Canis lupus familiaris: one gene and its partner. The protein of the gene in region 2 interacts with the protein of the main gene of each other region in a pairwise test. Links are inferred from orthologs where the notes say so. Each region holds a gene or a part of one and is shown on either strand. Other genes may lie near its edges. The genes, in order: TSNAX and KLC3.

Region 1 (9,845 bases), on a different chromosome or scaffold from region 2:
AAACCTCATGTACAACAGAGAGGCAAAGAGCCAATTAAATGAAATAGGAAGCAAACAAAGAAGCAAAGATGGAAGATAGAGATACCTAGCTGCTTTCATAGAATACTCCTGAATCTTTATAATTCATTTCCCTGTTCTGCTTAGGGTAGTTTAAGCTGGTTTATATGTATGTATGTATGTACGTACGTATTTGAGAGTGAGCACATGCGTACGTGAGCAGGGTGGGCAGGTGGTAGGGGGGTAAAGAAGGAGAGGGAGAGGATCTCAAGCAGACTCCTCATTCAGTGTGGAGCTGCACATGGGGTTCAATCTCTTGACCCTGAGATCATGACCTGAGCTGAAACTAGGAGTTGGACGCTTAACCAACCTGAGCCCTAGGCGCCTCATAATCTGGTTTCTTTTATTTGCAACTGAGGAATCTAGGATATATCTAGAAAAATAAAATATTCTTACAGAAAGAAATTTCAAAGAAAAGATGCCTCAGAGCTGAAGAAAAGGGAACTTCCAAAGGAGAATTAAGCAGTCAATACTATCATATGCTACAAAAATGTAAAATAAGAAGAGTATGCACTAGATTTAGCAATTATGAAGGTAATAGGACAATTTCAATAGTTATGAGGCAGAAAAGCAGATTGCAATGAGTTGATCAATGAATGGGAAGATAAATAACTAGATTTCAACATTGATCTACCATTAAAATTTTACATGTATCATCCAAGTAAAGCTTTTATGCAACAGGCTCTAATGAAGCCATTAGAAATTTAATATTTTCACAAACAACAGCTTTTCACTGAGTGATCTTAACACAAATCCCTAGCTGCTCTGAAAATAAGAACTTTCCCTTCCTGTGTTGATTAAAACATTTGTTCTTAAAATCTACTTGCTACTGGGGTGCCTGGATGGCTCAGTCTGTTGAGTATCTGACTCTTTGAGTTTGGCTGAGGTCATGATCTCAGGGTTGTGGGACAGAGCCCCACATTAGCTTCAGAGTGGGCATGGAGCCTGCTTAAGATTCTCTCTCTCCCTCTGCCTTCTCCCCTCCCCTCCCCTCATGCTTGCTCACTCTAAAAAAAATTAACTAAAAAAAACTACTTGCTGCTAATGTCTTCTGATCCCAATGTTCATATAACAAATCACAGAATATTCTAACAGCTAGTTACTGTTCATTGAGGTATAAAACATTACAAAATATATATAATACATATCAAACTGTATGCAACTATAACAAATTTTAAAGATATTTACTCACCTTGTAATCCTATGGAGAAGAAAAATTGTCCTTTTACTTTCAACAGTTATATCCCGACTAAGTTTCACAAGTCTCTCATATTTATCATGTCTTGCATCAAGTTCCTGCTGAAATGCTAACACATTATTACAACCATAAGCATGCATATTCCATGCTTCAAGCCTATCAAACAACACTGTTATTATGCACTATAAAGGAACTATTATTTACTCTATAAAAATGAGGAACACATCATCTCATTTAAATGATGGAAATCAAAGACTGGTAGTAACCAAAATATTCTTTCTTTAAACAGGTATGCTTTAACTGGATTTTACCACTCATAGCCTCATAGTAAAATGTGTGTGTGTGTGTGTATATATATATATATATATATATTTATATAAATGTATATAAACATATATATTTATATAGAATTTAAAAAAAACAAACCTCATCTAGTAAACATGAATTATCGCAGAATTATCACATGAGACTTTTATAAAAATTACTTCAACTACCTTTCATAATGTTTTTTAAATCGTATCACATGCAATGTTATCTCCCCCCACAAAAACCTGGACTTTTTTTTTTTTATTAAAAGTTCAAAAAAAAAAAAAAAGTTCATAACTTTTAAGGACAACTTTCTGAATTTCCAAGCCCTAGTCACTGAAATACCCATAAGCCACTTAACTCTTAATCACCACTTTATTTCAGAAGCATTGTCACAACAAAGACCTAGCAAATATCCTGTCCCACAGGGAGCACAGGGATGTATTTTGCATGATTTAAAAAACCCCAGAACTTGAATAAACTATTAACCAAATTAACAGGTTGACAAGGACCAAATACATTTGCTTCTATTATTGAGATAACAACTAAGAAGGGATTTTGCCTAGTATTTCAAGACAATGAAAAGCTTTCATTATTATAAATATTAATGACAACTGTGAATCAGATACTATGAATACAAAGTTAAACAAGACAATTCTTATCCTCAAGAAGTTTAGTCCAGTTAAAGACAAAAATGTAAACAATTAAAATTAATAATAACCATGTGTAAAGGTTCAGGAAAGCAGGAACCACATTTTTCTTGTTCCTGCTAACATATGCTAGAACACAGTAGATGCTCAATAAATATTTAATGACCAAATGGATGAATGGATAATGAATAAATGCAATGTCTGTCAATAAATTTGCTTGACAAAAAAAGTCAGAAAGACTTCCAAGAAGACATGTGAACTAGGTTATGAAGGAAACCATGGTTCACCAGATGGACAATGGAACTAGCAAATTAGAAGAAATTTTGAGCTTAAAGAACTATGTGTGAAAACGCAGACAGAAACATACAAAAGCAACATATGCTTGGAAACAAGCAGCTCTGTATATGGTGTGTCAGAGTACAATGATGGGGAAACCCTGGCCCACTGCAGTTTTTGCACTGTGTATACCATTCATTGTATCAATACACTAAGCAATTACAAGTTGTTTTATACATCTAAAGATCAATGTAGGTGCCATGATTTTAAAATATACCCACAAATTATTTAGGACTCCCTTCAAAAGGTGGAACCTAATTTGTTCCCTTTAAAAATGAAGCAGAGGGCAGCCTGGATGGCTAAGCAGTTTAGCGCCGCCTTCAGTCCAGGTTATGATCCTGGAGACCCGGGATCGAGTCCCATGTCGGGCTTCCTTCATGGAGCCTGCATCTCCCTCTGCCTGTGTCTCTGCCTCTCTCTCTCTCTGTCTCTCATAAATAAATAAAATCTTAAAAAAAAAATTTTTTAAATAAAAAAATAAAAATGAAGCAGAGTTATTTAAACTGCCTCATCTCTAACAAACAGAATGTAGCAAAAGCAACAGCGTATTGTGTCTGAGATCAGGACCTAAGAAGACTGGTTTCCTCCTTGCTTTGATCGAGGAAGCCAGCTGCCATAACATTAGGCCACTCAAGTAGCTTCCTGTGAGGACGGAGAGCTGGTTGTTGGCAGAAGGCCCGACTGGTCAACTGAGGTGGATCCTCCAGGCCCACTCAGGTCTTCAGATGACCGAGAGTGAGAATCAACAGCTCAGGCACTCTCAGGCTCTAACTGTAAGGTGTAGGAGGGTGGATACAGGATGACAGGAAGGAGATTTTTGTTTTATGCTTTCTTTTGAAATGAGGAGCAACTCAACCAAGTTAATAAGAGGATTGTGAGGGACACCTGGGTGGCCCAGTGATTGAGCATCCCATATGCTTCAGCTCGGGTCATGATCCCGGGGTCCTGGGATGGAGTTCCACATCAGACTCCCCACAGAGAGCCTGCTTCCCCCTCTATGTCTCTGCCTCTCTCTCATGAATAAACAAATAAAATCTTTAAAAAATAAAATAAAATAAAAAAATAAAAGGAGGCCTGTGAATAACACATACACACACAGACATTATGTATGTGCCGTATATCTGTGGCATGTATATGACTTATTAATAGAAAAGGTCCCGCTCTGTGCGAGGTGTGACAGTCACAACAAAAAACTTAATCCTGGTCTTCAAGATTCTAGCTTAGGAGCCAAAACCAAAATATACGCTTCAAAGTGAACTAATTAGGGATCCCTGGGTGGCGCAGCGGTTTGGCGCCTGCCTTTGGCCCAGGGCGGGATCCTGGAGACCCGGGATCGAATCCCACGTCGGGCTCCCGGTGCATGGAGCCTGCTTCTCCCTCTGCCTGTGTCTCTGCCTCTCTCTCTCTCTGTGACTATCATAAATAAATAAATAATTAAAAAAAAAAACACAAAGTGAACTAATTAAATCTATATGTATACATACAGCTGACAGATCTATATCGCTGATACATATTTGTATGTCGGGGACGCAGTAATTTTTAGTGATGTGGCATTTCTGATGCTAATATTTACCTGTAGAACCCTTACAGGAAAAAAAAAAAAAAAGCCAACACCTGAGTACCCTCGACTTTAATGGCAGACCCAGCACCACAGCTAACCTCTGGGGGAAGAAGGTACAAGGGTCACACCGGCACAGCTCACGTCCTAACGGTGTGTGCAGCACAACATGCCTAAACGCTCCTTGCTACCACCTCTCTCGCTCTCTTCCCTTCGCCAACCTCCATGACAGAAAACTTACATTTGAAGGCCAACATCACAGGTGAAGATGAATTAACATCCTTCCCTTCTCTTCTCTGGTTATGTGGGAAATTGTCGTGCTTCCTTTTCCTGAACCCTCCTGATCCTTACGTAGAGAAGGAGAAAACAGTTGGGTAGGGCTTTTGCACCAGAGCTGGCCCCTGCCTCGCTCTCACACCCGCGCCCAGGGGCCCTGGCCCGAGACGCTTGCTCGCTTGCTCGCTTGCTCGGCCGACTCACGCAGCAGCAGCCCTGCCTTTTTATTCCCCCCACCCCCACCCCCGCCCCCACCCCCCAATCCTAAGCTCACCTCACCCGGGGCCTCCACCAGTGGCTTTCCTGATCTGGCACAAGGTGGAGCAATGACCAAACTAAAATCAAAGACACAGCTCGAGGATTTAAGAAATGGCCAGGTGTGCATAGGCCCGAGGTGGCCAGGAAATCTCCGGGGCCGCCCCTCCCCCCCACCCCGCCCCCGAGCCTGCATGGGGAGAGGGCAATCCCTCAAGCGGGAAGCGAAGTGGAAAATCCGACAAAAAGGAGGGAGATCCTCCCCCTTTGAATAAAGAACGCCCAGGGCCGCCGAGGACGCCACCTTCTTTGCTGCTCATGTCGTCACGGCCTACGGCGAGATGAGCGGAGACCCAAGGCCTGCGAGCCAGCGGGGTGCGTAAGGTGCTGGCCGAAGAGCCTGCCGAGGAGCCCTCCGCGGCCGGCCGACGTCGACGCACTGGCCGGAAGCGCACGCCCGCAGCCACTCACGCCTCTCCCTCCGTCCTCGCACACTTCCGGCCTGCGCCCCGGCCCCGCCGCCGCAGGCTCCGCCCCGCGCGCCCCGGGGCTCTCGCGCCCGCGCGCCGTCGTCCCGGCTGCCCTCTGCTGTGCCTGAAGACAAAGCGAACTCTACAGGCCTCACTGCGCTTCCATCAAAACGGATGATGGAAGCGAGGCCTGTGTGAAGATGGAAAAACGGCGGGAGGTGTTCGTGATTTTTTTTTTTGTTTTTCCTCAAGGCACTTTGGGAACACCCCCGCGTTCCCTTCGCGTGGACCCAGCCTTCCGCGCGGGGAGTGATGGGGGTTGTAGTTCGCCCGCCGGAGTCAGCCCCTTGCTGCTCTCCCGACCTGGCTGTGAGGAGGGAGCGAGCCGTCCATCGCCTACGGGAGGGTCTTCTCAGGATCCAGGCCGAATCTTACGGAGCTGGGAGTTTAAACTTTCCATTCCTGGCTGTGGGGCCAGCAGGCAAAGTGATGGGGAGACACGAATCAGTGAGCAGGCGGCCTTGGCGTTCGGACGAAGGTAAAGCCCGCCCTCTGTGCTCCGCCCCGGGCCCTCGCCTGTCATCGCCTTCTGCACCGCGGCCTCCGCGCGCTCGCTGCGCTCGGCGTCCCCTGGCCCCGCGGGGCTGGGTGACCTCGAGGGCAGTTAGCCACTGTCCTCAGTTTCTTTACCTGTGAAACAGGGATGGAATACTACCTGCGTCATACGCTTAGTCGAGGGCCAAATGAGTTAATACTAAAGTTCATAGAAGAGTGTCCTTTCGCATAGTACCTGCTCGATTAAATGTTAGCTTTCAGGGGCACCTGGGTGGGGCAGCGGTTCAGCGTCTGTCTTCGGCTCAGGTTGGGATCCCAGAGTCCTGGGATGGAGTCCCGCATCCAGCTTCCCGCAGGGAGCTGCTTCTCCCTCTGCCTGTCTCTGCCTCTCTCCCTGTGTCTTTCGTGAATAAATAAAATCTTTTTTTTAAAAAAGAGAATATTAGCTTTCATACCCTTCTCCCAACCTCACGCTCCAAAAAAGAGAGAGAGGTTGGTAATAACAGGCTAACAGGTGCGCACAACTAAGTTGTGAGCTTTTTATTTGGGGCAGGTACTGCCATATCTTATTAGATTATATATTTATATATATATATATACATATATATATGATTTTATTTATTCGTGAGAGAGAGAGAGAGGTGACCTGAGCCAAAGGCAGGCGCTCAACCACTGAGCCACCCAGGTGTAGGCCTTCCAACCTTTTATAACCTCCCACCCGCGCCTCCGGGATCCACAGCTCTTGTAAAGCCGCTATAAGTGTTTGTTCAAGGATGAGGTTCCCATCGCCAAGATGGGTAACGAAGTAGCAATCCAGCATCTTCTAGGTATAAACTCAGGGTAGGGCTTTGGCAAATTGGGTGGCGTAGGCCGAGTGGGGAAAACACAAGTATGTTTTATTACACTTTCTCTGAATATCTCCATGTTGTGGGCACGTGCTGCACACACAGTCCTTAATTCCTCCTAATACGAAAGAATAGTAAATGAAACGACTTGACTAGAGTATGGCCGAATTTTCAAGCCCAGGACAGGGGTGTGTGGTAGGAAGGTTTCCTGCTCTAGCTAATCTCTAGAGTCTCTCCCCACTCTGAAGCAAGAAGGTACCTCCTGTCCATACCTTTGCAGCTCTTCGACTACATGAATTAATCAACCAAATTCCTTGCAGATAAAATAGGCTGCTCATGACTCTTGCTTTGTAGATTTGGGGCAAATTAATTCTGAGTTTGTAGGAGATCTGACCCTGGTGATGTTCACCAGTATCTCCCCTTTTTTAATGAGAGAATAATTGACCATGGAGAAAAAAAAAAAAAAAAAAAAAAAACCTTCTGCTATAAATATAGTAATTTAGATGTGACTCCCTTCGATATAAGGAAGCCAATAACTTATGAACATTTTTAGAGTCAATATTTATTTAGCACAGTCTTAGAAGAAGAGTATTTTTTCCTAATTCTACTGGAATAGCAGCTCTGAAGACCTCAACTACCCAAAATTTAGATCAGCCATGTTTATTTTCTTTCCCCAGCCACCACTCCTGTTCAGCTGTTTAACTACAGCTATGTTGCTTGAACAGTTTTTCAGGCTTCCCATAATTGTTACAATTAGAATGCAAAGTTTCATAACTTGTAATGACTTCTCAAAGTACTGAAAGGTGAATCCCGGGAACACTTCTCCAGAACTTATTTGCATATGCAGTTTCACCAGGTGTCCCATCTGTAACTGCTCCTTTGTCAGGAAATACCACCTCTGGTAACCTGCAGAAGTCATCTCCACGTTGTCTCTTTGTTTGTTGCTTCATATGCATACACAGAGTTTTACTATTTGGCAAAACATATTTTCGTTTGTTTTTAAGGGAAAGCTACCACCCAAGTTGGGAAGCGGAAGGTAAACATTTTCGGTGAGACCTTACTTCTCCCTTACTAGCCAATTCTCAAACCTTTGTTGTTCCTCCTCATCTCCCCAAACTCAACAATCAATTGCTCAAAAGACTTCCTCTCTGTTACACTTAGTCTCATGTTGATCTCATTCGGATGATTTTAAATGTCGTTAGTAATCTAATAAAACCCCACATTATGCTTCTGCTCCAAAAAATTCATATCCAGTCCAAACCCATATCCCAGTACCTTATTCACCTATTTCTTGAGTGTTTAATATTTATCTCAAAATTAACATATCCAAAATTGAACACACCAGTCCCCCAAAACCCATCTCTTCAGCATTATTCCCTATTTAAGTTCATGTAAATAATCTTTTTCCAATTGATCAGACTAAAAAACTAGAGTCATCGTTAACTCCTCCCTCTTTCACATTCTACATCCTATTTACTCTGGACTGAACTGCATCCCCCAAAATTACTATGTGGAAGCCCTAACACTCAATGTGACTATCTTTGGATATAGGGCTTTTAGGAGATAAGTGAGATTAAGTAAGGTCATGTGGTGGGGTACTAATCTGGTAGGACTGGTGGTGGCCTTACAAAAAGAGGGAGAGAACAATCTCTTTCCCCATATGCATTCATCAAGGAAAAGCCATATGAGGATACCGCCAGACACCATCTGCAAGCCAGGAAGAGAGGACTAGAACCTACCGTCTTAGAACACTGATCTTAGACTTCCATTCCCCAGAGTGTGAAAAAATAAATTTCTGTTGTTTAAGCAACCCAGGTTATGGTACTTTTCTTATGACACCCCAAGCAGACTATGCCACTATTCATTACCAAATCCTATTTGTTCTACCTTCACCATATACTTAGATTACAACCAGTCTCTCCAAATTCTACTATCTTCCGCTTACCCAAGCTACCATCATCTCTCATCTGAAATACTCCAATAATCTCCTAACTGAATATAGATGTCAGTCCTTCTCATCAAGAAGTGGAGTCAGTTTTCTCTCCCCTTAAAGTTGATTTAGCCTTTGGCTTGTTTTTACTAACAGAATGTGGAGGAAGCAGTGTTGCATCAATTGCGAGCCTAGACCTTAAAAGACCCAACAGCTTCCCTTTTAGCTCTCTCGGAACCATTAGCCACGGTGTAAGATGTCTGACTATTCTATTGGAGAGAGAGGCCTGACCAACCCATGTTCCTTACAACCAACCCAGCTGAGCTGCCAGCCACGTGAGTGACTCTACCTTGACATTGCAGTCCCAGCTGAACTCCTTTCTGAATGCAACAGAATGATGACACCAGCCATCACCTCCATGGAGCAAAAGAACCAGCCATACAAACCACAAAATCATGAGAAACAATCAGTCATTTTAAATCCCTTTAGTTTCAGGGTAGTTTGTTGTGCAGCTAACTGATAGACACTGGTGTCCTGTTTTCAATTTTGCCCAACTTTCAGTCATTTTTCCACATAGCAGTCAATGATTCCATTTAAAAAATATAGAGATGGTGTTACTCCTCTACTTAAAATTGCAAGTATACTCCTCTTCCTCAGAGTAAAAATCAAAATTATTACAAGACCCTATATAATTGGCCCCAACCGCCACCTCATTACCTTGTCCTCATCTACTGTTTGCTAACTCTGTTTGACCTTCCTCTTTGACCTTCTGTTCTCAAACAAGCTAGACATGGTTCTGCCTCAAAGCCTTAGCACCTACTATTCTTTTAGAATGGATGGCTTTTTCCACAGATTTCTTTAAGACTTTTTCTTTTCTCATTTCATGTCCCCACTGAAAATGGCACCTTCTCATTGAAGCCTTCTGTGGTAGCCCAAATAATGGCCTTCCAAAGATGTCCATATCCTAGAAAGGGGAAACCTCTTGCATTGTTGGTAGGAATGCAAGCTGGTGTACCCAATCTAGAGAACAATCTGGAGGTTCCTCAAAAAGTTAAAAATAGAACTACCCTATGACCTAGCAACTGAACTATTAGATATTTACCCAAAGGATAGAAAAATACATATTTGAAAGGGTATATGCACCTCAATGTTTATGGCAGCATTATCAACAATAGCCAAACTATGGAAAGAGCCCAAATGTTCAACTGGTAAATGAAAAAAGATGTGCTATATACATATACAATTGAATATTACTCAGCCATCAAAATGAATGAAATCTTGCCCTTCACAAAGACATAGGTGTAGCTAGTGTATTATGCTAAGTGGAATAAGTCAGCCAGGGAAAGACAAATACCATATAATCCTCACTCCTATGTGGAATTTAGGAAAGAAAACAGATGAACATATGG
Region 2 (9,637 bases):
GGGTTCCATTAAGTGCCTTCTTGGCCATGATCTTGAGCAATGGATTTCCCCTCTCTGAGCTTCGACTTCCTCATCTCTAGATAGGGCTAGAGATGCCTACCTAAGGGGGTGGCTGTCTGGATTCAGGGGCTCTGCTAATCCTTGGCTGTGTGATCTTGGACAAGTCATTTGGCCTCTCTGTGCCTCATCTTCTTCACCTGTAGAATGGGGATAATCGCGGCACCTACCCTATCAGGTTGGTGTACATTCACAGAGCTAATTTACTTACAAGATTTGGCCTCGGGCCTACCCTGGGTAAGAACTCAGAAACCCCAGCCCTCGTTGGTGTTGTGCAAAAGTGCTTGGCACGGGGCCAGCTGAAAGAAACAGACAGTTACCTCAGTTGACACTTTCTCCTTTCAGCCTTGATCCTATTTAATCCTAACTGCTATGCTGTGTGGGGAGCATGATCATTCAGGGTTTATAGAGGAGGATATAGGTGCTCAGAAACATTGTTTGCCCCAGGTTACATGGAAAGGAAATGGCAAGATCAGAATTTGAACTCAGACCTGCCAGGCTCCAACTGCCTCCCCCACAGTGTTAACCACGTGCTACTCTGTTCTGAGCCTTTTACAGGGATTACTCACTAATCCCCACAACAGCCTCACAAAGTAGGTTACCTGTGAGTCCCATTCTACAGACCAGGAGCCTGAGGCCCAGAGAAGTTCATTCTTGGCTCGGGGTCACACAGCCAGCACACGGTGGAGCTGGGATGTGCCCCTGCCCTGCCTCTTCCTAAGCATGTGGCAGATCCAGAACTGGTGCCCAGCACCTTGAGGCCGGCCCAGTGTGGGGAGGAGGGTAGGGTTTGTCTGCCTCCTTCTACCCTGTTCCCTAGAAACCCCCCGGGGATGTTAGAGCAGGAGCTTGAGTTGTATTTGCTATTATTCAATCAACAGCTATTCGCCCAAGTGCCTTCTCTGTGTTCAGTCTGTGCTGGGGAGCACTGGGGACACAGTGGTGCCTGAGACCGTCCCCTCCTGGGACTTACATTCCAACGTGGGAGACAGACCTGTCCTCAAGACAGCGATGACCCAGAGTGGGCAGGGCTGAAACGTGGGGGAGCCCGGGCGGCTGCCAGGCCCCTGTGGGGGCGGAGAGGGCTTCCTGGAGGAGGGAACAGCTGCACTGGAGCTCAGAGAACAAGGGAGCAGAGGGCAGGTGGGCCTTGGCTCTGAGGGAAGAGGCGGGTCTGCGCGGCAGCCTGAGGCCGGGATCACGGACCAGCAGCGCCCTCTGCTGGAAGCATCCTGAAGGGAGCGGTCGAGGTACTGCAAGGGTTTGGAAAAGTTTGGCGTTGAACCAAATTCTATGATCTGAGATCTGAGATTCCTGTGCGCCCAGCTTTGGCCGATTTAAGTTTCTAAGACTTGATTCATTCAACTACTCAGTGAGCAAGCACTTTGCACCGGACTCTATTCTAGCGCTAGTGATGCAGTGCTGACCATACAGAGCCCTGTCCATACAGTACCTCATTCAGTCTTCGCAGCCTTTATCCCCATTTCACAGATTCAGAGAATTGACACACACAGAGGTTAAGTTACTTGCCCAAGGCCTTCACTACCAAATGCTGAAAATCAACTTCGAACCCAGAGCCCAATTTCTAGTCCTTGCAATTACCTCGCTAATATATTATGGAATGAAATATCGTATGACCAAGTTACATAAAATAATCTTAGGTCCTGAGAAGTTTTGTAAACAGCAGGCAGGGGAGGGACACCTGTGTGACTCAGCTGGTTAAGCATCTGCCTTTGGCTCAAATCGTGATCTCAGGGTCCTGGTATCGAGTCTGGCTCCCTGCTAAGTGGGGAGGGAGCCTGCTTCTCCCTCTCCCTCTGCCTGACGCTCCCCTGCTTGTGCTCTCTCTGTCTGTCAAATAACTAAATCCTTAAAAAAGAGATGAAGCAGGGAAATGGAGTAGTGTTTTGGTGAGACAGTGTCATTAGAAAGGGCAACTAATATTCAACAAAGGAGGAAAGACTATCCACTGGAACAGTCTCTTCAATAAATGGTGCTGGGAAAATTGGACATCCACATGCAGAAGAATGAAACTGGACGATTCTCTTACATCATACACAAAGATAAACTCAAAATGGATGAAAGATCTAAATGTGAGACAAGATTCCATCAAAATCCTAGAGGAGAACACAGGCAACACCTTTTTGAACTTGGCCACAGTAACTTCTTGCAAGATACATTCATGAAGGCAAGAGAAACAAAAGCAAAAATGAACTATTGGGACTTCATCAAGATAAGAAGCTTTTGCACAGCAAAGGATACAGTCAACAAAACTAAAAGACAACCTACAGAATGGGAGAAGATATTTGCAAATGACCTATCAGATAAAGGGCTAGTATCCAAGATCTATAAGAACTTATTAAACTCAACAGCAAAGAAACAAACAATCCAAAAATGAAATGGGCAAAAGACACGAAGAGAAATCTCACAGAGGAAGACATAGACATGGCCAACACGCACATGAGAAAATGTTCCGCATCACTGGCCATCGGGGAAATACAAATCAAAACCACAATGAGATACCACCTCACACCAGTGAGAATGGGGAAAATTAACAAGGCAGGAAACCACAAATGTTGGAGAGGATGCAGAGAAAAGGGAACCCTCTTGCACTGTTGGTGGGAATGTGAACTGGTGCAGCCATTGTGGAAAACTGTGTGGAGGTTCCTCAAAGAGTTAAAAATAGACCTGCCCTACCACCCAGCAATTGCACTGCTGGGGATTTACCCCAAAGATACAGATGCAATGAAACGCCGGGACACCTGCACCCCGATGTTTCTAGCAGCAATGTCCACAATAGCCACACTGTAGAAGGAGCCTCGGTGTCCATCGAAAGATGAATGGATAAAGAAGATGTGGTTTACTATACAATGGAATATTCCTCAGCCATTAGAAATGACAAATACCCACCATCTGCTTCGACGTGGATGGAACTGGAGGGTATTATGCTGAGTGAAATAAGTCAATCGGAGAAGGACAAACATTATATGGTCTCATTCATTTGGGGAATATAAAAAATAGTGAAAGGTAATAAAGGGGAAAGGAGAAAAAATGAGTGGGAAATATCAGAGAGGGGGACAGAACATGAGAGACTCCTAACTCTGGGAAACGAACAAGGGGTAGTGGAAGGGGAGGTGGGTGGGGGTGGGGGTGACTGGGTGACGGGCACTGAGGGGGGCACTTGATGGGATGAGCACTGGGTGTTATGCTATATGCTGGCAAATTGAACTCCAATAGTTTTTTTTTTTAAAGAAAAAAGGGCCAGTAGGGAAGGCCTCTCGGAGGAAGCGGCCTTTGTGAAGCTACCAGACTAACGAATGGCGTCTGTGGGAATAGGGGGGGCCCAGGCAGCGGGCACAGCCGAAGGCAAGGCCGGGCGGCGGGCGCTGCTAGAAAGCCCTCGGCCTGGGATCCCTAGTTTCCAAGGGTCGAGCTGCGCTGCACCCCGGCTTGGCAGCCTCCAGCGCGCTGGGCTCGCGCTCAGATTCGACGGGCCCGACAGGCACGCGGAGGGCTTCGCGGGTCCGCTGCTGCGCTGGCGCTTCCCCCGCGGCGGGCGGGCTGGGCTCCGCGGGAGCGGCGGGGGGCGGGGCGGGCTCACCTGCGGGGGCGGGGCTTCCGCCCGCCCCGCCCCTCGGAGGAGCCGCCCGCGGCCCGAGACCCAGGGCGCAGCTGGGAGCCGCCGGGCGTGCGCGGTGTGCGGGACGCGGCCCGGCGCATCTCGGCGGAGCGGGTCCCGGAGCCGCCGGCGCTCAGGTGGGCCCCTCGAGTGCTGGGCGGGGGAGTCCCGGGGACCGCGAGGATGGGGGCGGAGGGTGAGGGCTGGGCCCCGCGCACCCTGGGGCCCGCTGGCCTGGCGACGGGGACGGGCCTTGGGGCTCCTGGGCCCCCTGGGCCCTCCTGCCCCGCCCTGGGGCCCCCCCTCCCGGGTCCCGAGGCCCAGCTGGGGCCGCGCCCCCTCCCCGGTGCGCAGGTAAACAGGAGCGAAGACGGGGCGGGGCCTGGGGGGAGGAGGGCGGGGGCCCTTGTGACGGCGGGGGTGGGGAAGCCGGGGTGCGCGGGGCTGGGCCAGGCCGGCCGCGGTAAGGTGTGCGGTTTAGGGGGCTGGCCTGCAGGTGCGGGCGTGGAGATGGGGCGTATGAGAGGCGGTGTGCGAGGCTCAGGTGTGTGTGATGGTGTACGAAGCTCAGGTGTGTGCGCGACGGGCTCCGGCGGTGGGTGCGGGCGAGGAAGGGACAGGGATGGTCCGTGTAACCGTGTGCGGGCGCCCAGGGACTGTGGGAACGACGTGGAGCTGTCTCAGATGCAACACGTGGGCGGACCTCTGTGCGTCTAATGATGGGGGTGGGGGCCGTGTGTATGGGAGGGAGTTGCTCTGTTTATAGGATTAGGTGCGTGACTCAGAGCTTGCGTGGCTGGGGCGGTCTTTCTGCCTGTTAAGGCGCGGGGAGCCGCAGGGAGGTGGGCGATGTGGGACCCGCATGGACGGGGAGGGTGTGCCTGGGATTAACACTGTCAGCTGTGCGGTTGTACGTGTGTGAAAGGGAGTTTGTTGTTCACGGGACTGAGTGTGGGCAAAAATCATGGGAATAATGGAGCTGTCTGAATGACTCCATGAACGTGTGATCGTAACTTTGTGGGGCTTGTGTGTGACACGGAGTATGGTGAGACATGTACACACATATATACGTATAGTGAGAGAGACTGGTGTCTGCACACACGTATATGTAGAGATTGATGGCAGGGGAGAGCCTGCAGTGTAGAAAATCCGTGGATTATGTGCCTGCCTTCCTGTGTGTCTTGGTGTATGATGTTCGTGAGCAGGTAAGTAGGTACCCAAACCACTAGGCTGCTTACGGCGCCCTGGTGGCTTGAGTGAGGCACATGCCCGAGAGGGTCTATGCAAACACCTCTCTGTGTCTCCACAACTGAATCTGAGTTCAGGAATTGTCTGTATGTCCGTGTTTGAAGCTCTGTGTATCTGTGTGTATGCTGTGTGCAGGTGCGTGAATCTCTGGCTGGCCGGGCAAGGTGTTGGGGGAAGTGGGGAAGGAGATGATAGGTCCACAGTGAATCCCAAGAGTGTGTGTGTGTGTGTGTGTGTGTGTGTGTGTGTGTGTGCGCGCGCGCGCGCATGCGTGCCTGGAGGAGGTGATGGGCATGTAATGGAGAGCTAGCTGCTTGCAGGACCTTATAAGTGCGGGAAAGGTGTGTCATGGGGGTAACTGCAAAGAGATAGCCTGAATGTGAGTGATTTGGGATTTGGTTATCTTTTCACTAGTGAGGGGGGACAGAGTTTCTGTGTGTGTTGGCTTTTTTTCCCAAGAGGAAAATACACCAGTGTGTGGGATTATATTTCCAAGAGGGGAGAGCATACATGTGTTGTTTCTGAAAGAGTATGTGGGTGTGCGTGCACGAGCCTGAGTAAGTGTGTTGCGTTTTTTTTTTTTTTTTTTAAGATTTTATTTGAGAGAGAGAATGAGCCAGGGGAAGAGCAGAGGGAGAGGGAGAAGCCTATTGTGGGACCCAATTCTGGAACCCCTGGATCATACTTGAGCTGAAGGCAGGCGCTTAACTGAGCCACCCAGGCACCCTTGGATTAGGTTTTTTGAAAGGAAAATGTGGATGTGTAGGATTGTATTTTTATTTTTTAGAGGAGAAAGAGAGTGTCCTGTATGTCTTGCTTCAGAGAAAATGTATATTATGTTTTTAAGAAAGAAAGGAGTGTGCATGTTGAGCCGTCTTCTTGTAGAGGGGAGTGTGTGTGTGTACGAGCAGGTGTGTTTCTGAGAAAGTACGTATATATTGCACTGCATTTGAAAAAAGAAAGAGCAGGTATTCAGTTTCTGAGAGGAGGAGAACGTGTGTGTCGCATTGTGTATTTAAGAAGGGAGGGTGTGCGTGTGTTGGGGTCTGTTTCTGGGAGGGGAGTGAGTGTGCTTGTGTGTGAATACAGAGGCTACAGAGGCTCCAGCAGCTGTGTCATTGACTTTGTCACCTACATACAACCACATAAAGTGCCACACATGAGACCCCCACCCATTAGCATCTAGGCCTCAGACTCTGAGCTGTCACAGGGCTAGTGTGACATCCATGGGCCGTGCCTGTCACACGTGTGTCCCAACATGCCTTGGGCTGGCGGAGCCTGTCTGCAGTGGAGGGTGGAGTCCTTGTTCCCTTGGGATCCATCAGGCCCTGGGAGCTGACACACAGGCACCCCCCCATCCCCCTAAATCTAGAGGGCTCCTCTGCTTCCAGTGCCCCAGCCCCTTGGCCCTCTCCTCCGGCCCCACCCCTCCAGCCCCAGTGGTCCGACTGGTTCCCAACAAAAACACCCTAAGAATGAGCTCACGGAGAGGCCGCCTCCACATGCCCCGCCCCACACACCCAGCAGAGGCGTGTGCCTCCAGTCCAGGTCACACGGGGAGTCCTGGGGCCAGGTATCTGGGGCCCTTGGGATAGACAGGGCTGGCCAGGTGAGCTGAGGGCAGGTGAGAGGCCACGAGACCACTGGTTGCCCCAGATTTTGAGTGGCCCTCAGGGCAGGGCCCATGGCTGAGGACAGGCAAAGCTAGACTAGAATGTTTCCAGTTGCCAGCTGGCTGGGATGGGTGCGGGACAGGGAGCCGGCCAGGGTGAGGAGGGACTGATGGGCCTGCTTGCCTGGCCCTGACCCCCCAATCCCTGCTACCCACCCCAGGAACAGCAATGTCCGTGCAGGTGGCAGCCCCTGGAAGTGTGGGGCTGGGCCCGGAGCGCCTGAGCCCCGAGGAGCTGGTGCGGCAGACGCGACAAGTGGTGCAGGGGTTGGAGGCCCTGCGAGCAGAGCACCATGGCCTGGCCAGGCACCTGGCGGAGGCGCTGGCAGGACAGGGCCTGGTGGCTGGCTTGGAACTGCTGGAAGAAAAGCAGCAGGTGGTGAGCCACGCGCTGGAGGCCATCGAGCTGGGACTGGGCGAGGCCCAGGTATGGGGGGGGGAGCAGCTATCCAGCCATGGGGGGGGAGGCTCAGAGCTGGGAGGAGGCCCGGGATGAGGGAGGCAAGTATGTAGGGGGTGATGAGCCTGGAGCAGGGGAGGCCTAGGGGAGCCAGGCCTGGGGAGGAGGGGTTCTAGGCTGGAAATGGGATCCCTGGGTGGCATTAGGGGGTCCTTTTGTGTGACAGGAGCCCCTGAACCAATGGCATCCATCTATAGAACTGTAGATTCTAGGGAGATGTTGGGGTCACATGGGTAGGATATGAAGTGGCCCTACACGTGATTTGTGTGCCTGAATGAAATCAGAAGGGTCCCTGGGTGGGGTTTGGGTGTGCCCTTGGGAGTTTCTGCACATCCTCAGAGTCACTTGGAAGGGCCAAGAGTTGGGGTGCTCTGGCATGACATGAGGCCCTGGGTTGGGCCAGGGACTGCCTGGTAGGAGAGGGACTGGGCCCCTGATCCCCGGCCCCCTGCAGGTGCTGCTGGCCCTGTCCGCGCACGTGGGCTCCCTGGAGGCGGAGAAGCAGCGGCTGCGAGCGCAGGCCCGGCGGCTGGCCCAGGAGAACTCGTGGCTGCGGGAGGAGCTGGAGGAGACGCAGCGGCGCCTCCGGGCCAGCGAGGAGGCCGTGGCCCAACTGGAGGAGGAGAAGAGCCACCTGGAGTTCCTGGGGCAGCTGCGCCAGTATGACCCCCCTGCCGAGAGCCAGGTGCTGCAGGGCTGGGCAAGCCAGGGGGCCCCCATCCTCCTTAGATCCCCCACAGACCTGTACCACTCCATGGAGCCCCCAGTGCCCTAGACCCTCCAAAGAAGCCCTAGACCTTCGACAGGGTTCCACAACCCCCAGACTCAGTAAAATTTCCACAGAAGCCCTCCCAGCTTCCACAAAATCCCCAGATCTTCCCCAAGCCCTCAGAAACCCCCCTCAAACTCGGAGGTCCAGGACCCTGGTCTCTAAAGCAAACTCCCAGCCCTCTTTGACTCCTCACTTTCCTGCCCTCTGCAGCGGCCTGAATCCCCTCCTCGACGAGACAGCCTAACCCCCCTGTTCTCCAGCGAGGAGGAAGAGAGGAAAGGTGGGTGTGGGGGAGCACGCAATTGTTGGGCCACTCGGCCACGGAGGATAAGAGGCTGAGGCCGGGGAGGGACGGAGACCCAAGGTGGATGTCAGGGCAGGGCGGCAGGAGCATGAGGCAAGGGGCCGGGCCAGGGCGCATGACAGCCGAGGCTGGAAGCTGTGAAACCAGGCGTGCCACAGCCGCACCCGCCAGGCGGACCCCGCGTTCACATCCCATGAACCAATCTCCAAGGTCAGTGCGGGGATCCGTCATCCCAGGGACCAATGGGCCAGTGAGGCAGCTATAGCCCTGGAGTATGTTCCTCTTTTTGGGGATGGGAAGGGTGGGAGGCTGGCAGTGACCTGATGTCCATCTGCCACTCGCAGGCCCTGAGGCAGCGGGGGCGGCAGCGGCTCAGCAGGGTGGCTACGAGATCCCAGCCCGCCTTCGGACCCTGCACAACCTTGTGATCCAGTACGCAGGGCAGGGCCGCTACGAGGTTGCTGTGCCACTGTGCCGCCAGGCCTTAGAGGACCTGGAACGGAGCTCGGGCCACTGCCACCCCGATGTGGCCACCATGCTCAACATCCTGGCGCTGGTGTACCGGTGAGGGCTGCGGCCGGCCACGGACCCATTGCTGGGGGCAGGGGAGCTGGCGTCCCACTCTGCCAGCATGGGGCACCTGGATTGGTGGTAGCAGGGGGTGTCGACAGGGATCTGGAGAAGCCAGTGATCCAAGCAAGGAGTCAGACAACCATAGGCAAGAGACCTGTGGGGGCTGGAGGCTTGACAGCAAAGGGACCCTGTGCCAGACTTGGAAAGTGTGGCTCACAAGCGACCATGGAAGGGCGCCTGCCACCCAGGCTTGGCCCGGCAGGTGCTGCCCCAGCATGTCTGACCCCCCTCCATCCCTGGGCCACATCACAGGGACCAGAACAAGTACAAAGAGGCCACAGACCTTCTCCATGATGCCCTGCAGATCCGGGAGCAGACACTGGGCCCTGAGCACCCTGCGGTGAGTGGGGGCCCAGGAGTGAGGGCCGTGGGGTGGAGCCTACCGCCCCTGACCTGCCTCCCCGACCCTGCAGGTGGCTGCCACCCTCAACAACCTGGCTGTGCTCTACGGGAAGCGCGGGCGGTACCGGGAGGCGGAGCCCCTCTGCCAGCGCGCCCTGGAGATCCGCGAGAAGGTCCTGCCTCCTGCCCAGCCCCCACGGAGTCCCTAGGCCACCGGCCCCTCCCATCTGATCCTGATGTGCTCAATTCACTGGCTCCGGGGTTGCAACCCTGATCCTATGATGTCCTTCCCATCTGATACCGTGAGGCCTCAGTTTGAGCCTCAATGATCCAATCTCGCAACCCACTACCCTTGACCTTCTGTGAACTTCCCCAATCTTGACTCTGATCCTTTGTAGAAATCACCTCATATGCCCCCCAACCCAGTCCTAACCTTCTAATCCCATGTGACCAGCCTGATCTTGACCCGATTAATCCCCAGTTTGTGTCACTTCCACCCTCTGGCTCACAACCTAATGTAACTCTCCCCA

Evidence for each region.
Region 1: the proteins of KLC3 (region 2) and TSNAX interact in binary tests that used the Homo sapiens proteins (3 or more experiments, as listed by UniProt). The two-hybrid records come from large-scale screens. The link is inferred for Canis lupus familiaris from reciprocal best matches to the Homo sapiens genes KLC3 and TSNAX.

The regions. Positions count from the first base shown.
Region 1 is NC_049225.1:8,340,044-8,349,888, forward strand, and holds the start of TSNAX (translin-associated protein X), read right to left. Parts: upstream 5,141-9,845; 5' UTR 4,957-5,140; coding exon 4,941-4,956; intron 4,452-4,940; coding exon 4,347-4,451; intron 1,365-4,346; coding exon 1,250-1,364; intron 1-1,249.
Region 2 is NC_049222.1:110,904,263-110,913,899, reverse strand, and holds the start of KLC3 (kinesin light chain 3), read left to right. Parts: upstream 1-4,143; 5' UTR 4,144-4,186; coding exon 4,187-4,247; intron 4,248-6,757; coding exon 6,758-7,023; intron 7,024-7,510; coding exon 7,511-7,741; intron 7,742-8,038; coding exon 8,039-8,108; intron 8,109-8,476; coding exon 8,477-8,696; intron 8,697-9,017; coding exon 9,018-9,105; intron 9,106-9,178; coding exon 9,179-9,280; intron 9,281-9,637. UniProt on the Homo sapiens protein: Kinesin is a microtubule-associated force-producing protein that may play a role in organelle transport. Plays a role during spermiogenesis in the development of the sperm tail midpiece and in the normal function of spermatozoa.